Lytechinus pictus: one gene and its partners. The main gene of each other region encodes a partner of the protein of the gene in region 3 in a complex. Links are inferred from orthologs where the notes say so. Each region holds a gene or a part of one and is shown on either strand. Other genes may lie near its edges.

Region 1 (3,759 bases), on a different chromosome or scaffold from region 3:
TATCCTGGGGACCTAATCTGGGTCCCAGAGTTGTGATTGATCCAATCACCCTGAATTATATGGCAATCCAGAAATGTCATAACTTTTACTACCAGAAATGTGCACGATGTCCTTTGGTAACAAAGTGGAGGGACACTAAGATGTCAAGACAACAATGAATGTATGAGTAAACATATCGAGAAAACATTTTGAACAAATATGTGGGTGTTGCTGGCTTTCCATAGTTGAGGTTGATTGGATAGCATCTCTTTTAAAGAAGGACTCCTGGTGGGTGTTTCATAAAGCTGTTCGTAAGATAAATGACTTTACGAACGACTGGTGATCCTTTCTTGTGCTCTGTGATATCCCTATGTAATTGAGTTATGACCTAAGAACATGTGTAAAGTCGTTCGTAACTTTACGAACAGCTTTATGAAACACCCACCTGGGCCCCGTCTTACAAAGAGTTACGATTGATCCAATCAATTGTAACTCTATGGAAATCCATCATTGTGTTAATTTTTTCTACAGGAAATTGCACAATGTCCTTTGTAAACAAAGGAAAACACACCAAATTGTCAAGAAAGCAATGACTTTATGGATATACATTCATATCTAGAACAATCTTTGAATAAACATGCATTTCATATGTTGACTTTGCTGGCTTTCCATAGTTGCAATTGATTGGATCAATCACAACTCTTTCTAAGACGGGCCCCTGGTATGACTTACTCTTCATTCAGTAGATCAAAGTCCTCCACCAATCCCGAGACGGGAACCTTCTCGAAAATGGTCTTCAGGGCGAGCTCTGCGGTAGCGCAGGAGTTCTCAACATCCAAGCGCTTGAGAAGATCAATGGCATTACCATCAAAGGCTCTAAGCCAGCTCTGAAGCATCTTACCAGAGCAGATGTCCTTGACAATGTCTAGGTTACAAAGATAACATGGTTGACAATGAAGTTTAAAAAACTATTCTGCAATATCCATTTCTTATGAGGGCTTTTAATCAATTAACTATGTACGAAAGATTTTGTTTGTGTTCACGCAAGTCCTAATTATGGATTTCATTAGGGCATGCATGAAGCAGTTCAATTCCTGGGGAAATTTTGGTATTTCCCGCTCTGGTTGGAAACACTGGGAAATATTTCAGATGTACAGGGAGTGCATGTACAAGGAAATGCTAGAATATGCTGAGAGACAATGCCTGAAAATATTCAAGAAGTATAGTTTGTAGTATTTCCCTGTATTTCCAACTATTTTCCATTTTCCTCAAAGACCAGCAAAGGCAGTATTTACCGGAGTTTGCCAGTATTCACCGTCCCAATTTCCAAATCTGGCCAACCCTGATCAAAAATTTTACAAAATCTCGCACTACGTATGGTATTAAATGTGGACCAATTGTCTCCTTCAAATGATTTGTACAAATTCGTCTCGTTGCATTGTTTCAGGTGTCTTCGTTTGCTTTTAAAGTTCAGATTTACCCGGATCGTTGTCCAGCGAGAGTTAGAATTAGTTGTTGAGAGTTCCCACACTTCTGGATTCATCATTTCCAAGAAAGCAAACGTTCTGTGGTGATAGCTGTGTTACGATTTTCTGCTTGCACTTCAATTATTCGTTGCTCCTGCTTTTTGGCTCTAAATCTACCTTTTTTACAATTTGTGACTTTCAATACTTGGAAATCATAATACTCTTTCTGCTTCCAGAATATATTCTGTGCTGTTTTGTATCATTGTGGATTTATTCTTGGGACTTTACCATACTTTGGATATCATCAATTCGACATTATGTGACCCTGAGAACGATGTATTGGACACACCTAGTCCCATACACACTTTTGGATTCGCAAACCGAGCTAATCCTTCGTTGTTATATTTGTCTACCCTCGTAACACCAGGTAACATATTATCATCTTGTGCATGTTTAACTATATGAATTCAACAATATCCTCTTCTTCATATGATACTGAAGCTTCATAATGACTAAATCAAAACATTGCACGAAGATAAAAACTAATTCCTGCCATGGAACCATTGGTTCGGACGACTTTAGATGTAAACTACCAAAGCATATAACAATCTCAAGTATTGACGCAGTTCTTTCACATCTACTGATTCATGATATTACTGATGCTATTTTAGATGATGAACTTGTGGACTATCTTACATCTGAATTGGGGTCTATTTATCCTAATTTAAACCAGGATATAGCCCGCCATTTTAGTATCATATCTCTTCAAAATGGCCGCCCCAAACGTCCAGAAAGCTACAAGCCGAGCGTTAGGCAACACCATGACAACAGTTGCCAAACTGATGTAAGCGTTGCCATTAGCAACCATTATACGGAGCCCGAAACTAATCCTATTGAAGGGAGGTGCGAAACGGATTATCCTCCCTTGACCTCCAAAGTTTCTAATCCAATACATCGGGATGAATGCCCAGTGTTGGTGGAACCCCCATGTAATTACCCAAACACAAAGGATTCTATGGATGATTCACAACCCACCGAGGATTCCCCCGTTCTCGACTCTTGTGCCGAGCATTGCTCATCGTCAAATGATTCTCATGCGCAGACAGCAACTATAACTTCCAATGTTAATCTTCGTGAAAAATTGGATTATCTTGCACATGAGTTCAAGCAATTCAAATCCCTTGTAAATAGCTTGCTTGAAGCTATTCAATCTAGTCATGCACAGATATTTAACAGCCCCAATGAAAACACTTCTTGTCTTTCAAATGACCATCCTTCAGATGACCATCCTCAAAAAGACCCACCTCCCGTTCCAGTACCACTAACCCACAGTGGGAATGACGAAGCTTTCCGAACATCATAAGATTTCGATAAGCAACTTCATGATTACCGTTACAAACATAGTGTGAGATTTACTCATGAGTCTCATACCAGTGAGAATTTAAATTGTATTGAATCTGATCGTGTATTCGTTTCCGATGAGAAAATCAATACCCTTGTGATTGGTGATTCGATAATTAAACATCTTAAACCATTGTCAATGTCTAATCACAAGAATCGAGTCTACTGTAAAACTATCCCTGGTGCCAGAGTAGAGAATGTCTTCGAACATGCCCATCATCTTGCAAATAAATACCATGCAAAAGTAGTTATTCTTCATGTCGGAACCAATAATTTGATTAACGCTGATCCTAGCATGTTAGTTGTACAGATTGAATCTCTTGGCGATCAGATTTTAGCTAACTGTTCTACTGTTTCAACAATTGTCTTGAGTTCCATCATCCCTCATAAGACCTTTCAAAAGGAACTTGAATGGAAAACCTACGAGGCAAACTAGCTGCTTCACCAGATGGCACTGCGAAGGAACTGGAAGTTTATTGAACATAGATCCTGAAAATCATCTCGCCGCAGATGGCGTCCACTTGAACGCTGAAGGCGCTAGACTGTTTGGTTGTGCAATTTCTTCCCATATAATTGACACTCCAAAAACTCAGATTGAATCCTCTGCCACTCCACATCCTTCCTATACAGGATGTTACAACTGTGGTGAACTCAACCATAAACAGAGAAATTGTAGATATGAATCAAAATTACAGTGTAACTCTTGTTCTCAGTATGGCCACAAAGCCAAGTTTCATCGTTTCAACCAAAATTTGTAATTAGTTGGCAAAGAAGATTTTGCCGTTAATGAGCATCTATCCTCCCTCATATGCTCATCTCATAATATGACTTCAAACACATCTGTAGATTGTGATCCTTCACAGTCTTCAAACACATCTGTAGATTGTGATTCTCCACAGTCTTCAAACACATC
Region 2 (3,759 bases), on a different chromosome or scaffold from region 3:
AGGTAAATTTTCCAGTGTATTGAGAACAGTTGAATTCCTCAAAATTGCTATTGATTGTGCAGGGATAATAGTTTTTGTGAAAACGACCCCATGATATCATTACCTGTCTTGAGACTGTGAATTCATCAAAGCTGTCATATCCTACTGGACTCTGCTTCTTGTCTCTGTTGTCAAAGACTATTGTGACAGTTGCTTTTGTGACACCGGCTTGGCCTCCCTTGTACACCAGTTCTTGTAAGCTGCCAGCTCGAACCTAGTACAACAAAAAGATGGATCAATGAATCAATCATATACAGTACCATACAGATGGGGGGGGGGGGCTTGGGGGAACTTGTCCCCCCTAAAAAAAAAATAATAAAAAAAATAAAATAAAAAATCACCGCCAAGAAAAACAGATAAAGGAAAAGAAAAAAGAGAAGGGTGAAATCGCAAATTATTTTCTGAATTTATTATGTCGAATTTTATCACAGACTATTGTATAGAAAATGTCGAAATTTTTGCTCACTCGCAACTATATTTTAAAAATAAATCTTGCCCGTTACACAATATCTCAGCTCAATACGACAGCAATCATAGACAGCACGACCCAGATGACAATCAGCCTTTTATTGAATTTTATTGAGGCCATATATTCAAAATTCTCACATTTTGCCAAAAATGGGTTATCAGAAATGAGGATACAAGAATCTTAAAAAGTAATACATGGCTTTCGGATATATCACACTCAAATTCTTGAATAGTTTTGTTTCTTTTTTTTATTGACTCTATTCTTGTTATTATTGAGACAGCAAGTCGTGAAAAATAGATGGTGAACTACATGTAGGGGAATTGAGGCCACTGAATCTATTTTTAGCACTCTCAATCCCCCAAATTGCCATCTAATATGTCCCGAAGGAGTAAGTGAAAAAAAAAAAATGTCCCCATACAAGGACAGTCTCAATTCATCAAGACATGATTTGTCTTGGTTTATGAGGATATCCTTGTTTTCTGGGACAATCCCAATTTTTCGACCAGCACCTCTACTGGTTTGTGAGGCGCGAGGACATGCATTCCTCATTTTCAGACTATATAGTAATAGTGCGCCTTTGTTTGCATATATCGCGATATGCATGCTGTCGTCTTGGCGAAAGACAAAGAAAACAAGATGGCGACATAACCGCGGTGGCAAGTTTTCCTCGTCTTTTCATATTTTTCTCGGTTTTTTTAATGAATTCTTGTTTAAAAATGAAATCAATATCGTAGAAATGTCGGAAATGAAGTTGTATCTCATTTACATGATTTAGGGCTAGGCCCACTCACACGTATTGCGAGGTTAGTATTAGTATACTAACCTCGCACCACGAACCGCGTTTGGAAGTGGAAGTGGGCTAGGCCTAGATCGTTTAGAAGTAGAAATCTCGGGGGCGAAAGTTTCAGTTTTTTTCGCGGTGCACACGCGCATGAACGGGACGCAATTCCTGGCTCCGTGGAGAGTAAGCCTATGTTAGTAGAATAATTCTTATTCTCCAGGAGCCTCCTGCATGTCCTGGCTAGTCAGAAGCCCGTTTGTTTTGTGTGAGGATGACAACAAAAATCCTAGACCTTATCAAAACAAAAGTAGACAGTGAATTTTTAAGTAGACGGTGAAAAGCTAAAAAAAAGGGTGATTTTTTTATGAGGAATCTGCTTATAACATTTTTATTTGCCGCCAAGCTAATCCTCTTTTTCATCATGTCAATTCATCATTCATGGGATCTGTTTCATGTTTGAGAAGTTGTGATCTGATCGACAAATCCGGACAATGCCAAAAATCTAGGCCTAAAGTAACAAACTTAGGCTAAAATTCATAGCTTGGCATAGAAAAATCTAAATAAGGGGCCAATTATGGTCTAACGTAAATTTTGTTCAAAATTTTCATAAACGAGTGATTTGCCTATTTGTCTGGATCTCATTCAAACTCAAACTTTCAAAGAACATTCAGTTTTCACATCGAAAATAGCCTTAGTCCCACCTGTGTTAAATTGGAGATCCCCAACAAAAAACAAATCGAGTCGAGGATGTTTGACTTTCCAGAACCGTTCAATCCAGTAATTGCGTTGAAGAGAGGGTCAAATCCCTTGATTTCCGTCCTCTGTGCATATGACTTAAATCCATCGATGATTATTTCCTTGATATACATCTTGTATTCCTGAGATTTAGTCCCAAAAAATAATATTTTGAAAAGTTGTATTGCGGCACTGCACTCCGCTCCGTTCAAAGCGCCCGGTTATTTGGCGGTTGACGTCTGCGCATGCGCGAAGCTCGAAGGCAGGCTTTGCAGTTGTTGTTTATGATGTTGGGTTTTTTTGTCTTGCGCCATCACAATGATTCAAATACTAGTAAATATTTTGGGAAATTTTCTGTTCGGTCGGGTTTAAATATTTTAATAAAGTAACTAAACTCTCACCAAACACCCCCCCCCCCCAAAAAAAATGTTTAAGTTTGTGTCGGGGTTGTTTAAAATTCAAGTCCACGTACGCTGCCAGAAAACGTTGATTTGAGTTAATAAGAAAATTGTGACATTTTAAAGTTTCGCTTATTTTTTACAAAACAGTTTTCATGACAACTCATTGTGCAAATTAGGGTGTACGATGATGTCCCGCACTCACTATTTTGTTATTTCCTCAATTTGTTGTGTGAATTATACAATATTTAGGCCCTATTTCATTTGTAAGGATTTGACAATGAGAACCAACTTGACTGAACAATATGAAATGTTAAAACAATATTCGACATATGTTCAGGGAGGAATAAAAAGTTTGTTTCATGGACAATGAAGAGAAAATAAAAATATATAATCTTTAAAAAAAAAGCAAAATAAATGACGTCATCAGTCCCCTCATTTCTATACAGACTCAGAACAGGATTTTTACGTGCACGATATATCTGCACATTTTGTGAAATTAAGCAAATTTAAAGTATATTATTGACAAAATATTTTTTTTTATTAATTCCAACTGGTTATGATGAAATTCTAGTGTTCTCTTTTAAAAATTCAAATTAACTTTTGTCCTTTAAAATGATATATTAAAAAATGATGCCCTATAGTATGCAGCATAGGACTACCTATTACCTTCCTAGCTCGTTTTTATTTAAATATTATCCTATATGAAATGTAAACTTTTCTTTTTCAGATTTTGTTTCATTTATGCAAATCATATAATAATTGTGACTTTTTGTGTTAATTAGAATTGAACGCTTCTTAAAAATAATGTTCACACCAACAATATTGAGTAAAAAGAGACAAAGCATGCTGATGAAAATCGGATGCAAAATAAGAAAGTTATGGAATTTCGCTTATTTTTAAAAAGTTATGCAAAACACAGTGGTAATCATCATGGAGAATCGATATCAGTCACTCACTATTATACATTATTTCTTTTTGCAGATTTGACAATAATGATACTCTAGCTTCATCGAATTTAACATGTGTTATAAGAGTGGCAATTGTCAGGGAGAAAAAGTGAGGAGAAAATGTTTGTTAGTTATTATAACAAAAGAAATAGTGAGTCACTGAGTTAATTCGTCATCGGTACGTCATTTGGATACCGACCAGGTTGTGCATAAAACTACTTTGTGAATTAAGTAAAACACTGTCAGAACTACCTCGTTTCATATCCAATTTTTAAGATTAAACGTACTTTTAAATTATTTTTTTCTACTTTTTTATTCAAATAAAAGCTTTTTTGATTTTGTGAGGATGGTTTGCCCTTTAATCATAACAAATAAGCATATATCAAA
Region 3 (3,759 bases):
GCAATAAGCTCCGTCAATAGTACAGTCTTTAAAAGTTTATGGCGGGGTCCGCTATCACCACGAGGTTGAAAATAAAATGTATATCATCATAAACGGGGTTAGAGAGTAGCGCAGTGAGCTCCGTCGGTAATACGACCTTTCAAAGTTCACGGCGGGGTCCGCTATCACCACGAGGTTGAAAATAAAATGTATATCATCATAAACGATGTAAGAGAGTAACGCAATAAGCTCCGTCAATAGTACAGTCTTTAAAAGTTTATGGCCGGGTCCGCTATCACCACGAGGTTGAAGAGAAGATTTATATCATTATAAACGGGGTTAGAGAGTAGCGCAGTGAGCTCCGTCGGTAATACGACCTTTAAAAGTTCACGGCGGGGTCCGCTATCACCACGAGGTTGAAAATAAAATGTATATCATCATAAACGATGTAAGAGAGTAACGTAATAAGCTCCGTCAATAGTACAGTCTTTAAAAGTTTATGGCGGGGTCCGCTATCACCACGAGGTTGAAGAGAAGATTTATATCATTATAAAGGGGGTAAGAGAGTAGCGCAGTGAGCTCCGTCGGTAATACGACCTTTCAAAGTTCACGGCGGCATCCGCTATCACCATGAGTTGGAAGAGAAGATATTTATCCTCTTAAACATCGCCATAGATAATACCGCGTCTTTCTCCCTGAATAATGCGACCTCCAAATAGCTAGCACCTCAAAAACAATCTTGAAATATGTTCTGAGCGATCACGCACTGTAACCAGATCTACGCCAATTTTTTATTTTCGATTTTTTCCTTCAAGGGGCATGATCGAAGATCGGCAAGTGATTGCCGATTGTGGTGAAATCGAATGGAATCGGTTGCCGATTGCAAAATCGGTTACAAGCTTATCTCAGAATACCACCCCAGCACTATGAGTCCTATGGGATACTTCCAGTCTGTGTAGCAGGACGACTAAAAAGAAATCAGAAAATGTATAAAAACTCCTGCGAAACAGCAGATTTTTAAGTCTAGAACTTTCTACATCGCCAATCAAGCTGGCCTACGTATCCTACATGTATGGTAAGGTCCCCCTGGCCGTGTCTGCGCACACGTGTATCTGCGCGATTCTAAAAGAAGATATGCAACAACCACCATAGCTCGCCACAAACTTTACAATTACAGATGCAATTCATAGAATTTAGAAAGAAAGGTATTCATTAAAAAACCTGACTCAGTGGTGGAAAAAAATGAATTCTTAAGTTTAGCCATTTCCAGAAATTTTCAGCATTTCATGTGACGCCGACAGCCTCAATATGCAGTAGAGGCGCATGGCCAATATTGGAGACTGTCTCCAATGTGGGAGATTATCTCCAATATCAGAGACTTTTGTAAAGAATTTGGGTATCCAATTTCAGACACAGTCTCCAGTTTTGGAGATCAATTTCCTTTGTTTACATTTGCTGCAAAAGGATTACCTTGGCGGCAAATAAAAATGTGATAAGCAGATTCCTCATGAAAAATTACCCCTTTTCACCGTCTACTTTAAAAATTCACCGTCTACTTTTGTTTTGATAAGGATATTTGTTGTCAATCACACACAAAACAAATGGGCTTCTGACCTCAGCGAGACAAAATTTTGGGTGGAAAAAATCATGTTTTTGTTGGTGTTTCTTTTGTCCTTTTGCAAAGCAAGTCTCCAATGTGGGAAATTGTCTCCTCTATTGGAGTCTCCCATATTGCCTTGCGCCTCTAGTCTCTACTGATATGCAGCCTTTCTCATCAAAATCCCTGAGCTGAATCGTGTGTAAAGACTTTATTGTGCACAGACATCATGGGGCACAATTTTTTGTTCAATCTGAAACCAAAAAAAAGTGAATGACTGGCTCGGGCCTCGGCCTGGTTTTAACTTTAAGTTAACTTTTGAAATTTGAGTTTTGTTTCCCATGATAAATCATTAACTTAAGAAAATCTTGTTTTTTTCAAATTTTTATGAGATTTTTTGCACACTTACTCATAAGAATATAAGGAACATTATCAACTAAAAAGTTTTGTGAAGTAAATTGAAATCTATATTAAATCTGAGGTTAAATAATTAGGTGCGCAGACATGGGCCATGGCGGGGCCCACCTTCATACCCCCAACCTTGCCTCGCCGCCTCGCTCGGGGCGCGGCTGGCCTTCGAGGCTGCGTAGCCCTCCCAATCAAGCCAACATTAACTCGGTCAAATTCAAAGCCGGGCTGTAGAAGAAACGATCAGAAATAAAGCTACTTTCCATCAAAACCAGTCATTCACATTTGAAATTAAAGTTTAAGACAGAATACATATGATGAAAAGGTGAACAAAAATACGAACCAACACGAATGAAAACGGCAAAATGTTGTTCCCGTAGGCGAAGGATTCCGCATCAACGGCTTCAAAATCCGCGGAAAAATTGTATTGTAAAAAAATGAACGAGAACTGACCAATCAGAACGCTCGATTTGTGAACTATGGTATCGCACAATCAGCAAAAATTTATTTCGGTAAAAGTCGTTCACAAAACTCGAGAATTACAATGCAAGTAAACAATTACTGTACTATAAAGTTACTTTACAGTACAGTAATTGTTTACTAGCATATACTAGTAGTCAGTTTTGTCACTATACAGTCCGAGCATGGGTGGAATGATTGCAATATATTGACCTGAAATTTCAACATTTTGGGGACACCCAAAACACGGGGGTATATAAATTATAACGTACAATACCATCATTATCATGATTGTTTTTTCGATGGCTAGTATATTTGAGTTTTTTTGTGATATAAATTATCTAATGCAGTTTATATTGATATGCGAGTGAGCGAGCAAATTTTTAGTACTTGGAAGACAGAATGGTGTCCAAAACCCGGGGTCCAAAAACGTCTTTCAAGTGTGCAATAATTATACCACATCAAGAGCTATGTCCTTGTACATAGTATTACCATCTCTATTGGTGACAGTTACCTTGAGCTATTTCAATTATGACAATGGCTACTGTTGTTGTGATCGATATATACTTAATTACAGTAAATAGTAGTTGGAATGAAGTCAGGATGATTGAAAAACGTCTTTCAAGGGAAAATTGCGACGAGCAAACGTGATCGAGTGCCTTAAAAAAATTGCTTCAGTCGTTTTAATTGACAATGTGCAGAGGATATATAGCAGGGGTAATTTTTCAAAAACGAAAGGTAGAATAGATATAAAGTTGTTATATTATAAAAATAATGATCAAACAGTCGAGATTTATTCAATGAAAACTCATTTGCTCACTAGTTAAAATTAGTGAGTTGAGAATATAAAAAAATAGGATCATGATTATCGCGAATATAACGATTATAATGCCTTATGAAATGAATCTCATGGCAACTCATCCGATAAACTTCAAAAAATGCGGAAATGGCAATGATGCAAATGACAACGAAAATATCGCAGAAAGGAAAAATTTTGAATAATATTGAAAATTATATTGGGGGATGATGCAACGTTCAAATTTGGAGCAAAATTCACATTTGACATAGATTGTTGCGTCAATTATCAATTAATGCAATTAAAAGTATCCTATGAAGAACAAATACAATTCTTAGGATGATATGCTGTCGTAACAACATGAAGCCCTAGTGTTTCATTATTATAGTGATCAATATGTCATGCGTGTCTCATCTAACAAAAAACTTGAAATATAGGGTATATTTTGTACAGACTATCCCCGCTTCCACAATGATGTCAGGATATGACCCCCCACCCCTTCAAGTGTATTTAAGAAACG

What was found.
Region 1: condensin complex subunit 1-like (region 3) and condensin complex subunit 3-like share a complex: the UniProt entries of both Homo sapiens proteins name them as parts of the condensin complex. The link is inferred for Lytechinus pictus from reciprocal best matches to the Homo sapiens genes NCAPD2 and NCAPG.
Region 2: condensin complex subunit 1-like (region 3) and structural maintenance of chromosomes protein 2-like share a complex: the UniProt entries of both Homo sapiens proteins name them as parts of the condensin complex. The link is inferred for Lytechinus pictus from reciprocal best matches to the Homo sapiens genes NCAPD2 and SMC2.

The regions. Positions count from the first base shown.
Region 1 is NC_087256.1:26,511,840-26,515,598, reverse strand, and holds the start of condensin complex subunit 3-like, read right to left. Parts: upstream 2,314-3,759; coding exon 2,286-2,313; intron 905-2,285; coding exon 712-904; intron 1-711. UniProt on the Homo sapiens protein: Regulatory subunit of the condensin complex, a complex required for conversion of interphase chromatin into mitotic-like condense chromosomes.
Region 2 is NC_087255.1:14,795,622-14,799,380, reverse strand, and holds the start of structural maintenance of chromosomes protein 2-like, read right to left. Parts: upstream 2,268-3,759; 5' UTR 2,159-2,267; coding exon 1,991-2,158; intron 254-1,990; coding exon 104-253; intron 1-103. UniProt on the Homo sapiens protein: Central component of the condensin complex, a complex required for conversion of interphase chromatin into mitotic-like condense chromosomes.
Region 3 is NC_087258.1:13,124,413-13,128,171, forward strand, and holds the start of condensin complex subunit 1-like, read right to left. Parts: upstream 2,435-3,759; 5' UTR 2,328-2,434; intron 1-2,327. UniProt on the Homo sapiens protein: Regulatory subunit of the condensin complex, a complex required for conversion of interphase chromatin into mitotic-like condense chromosomes.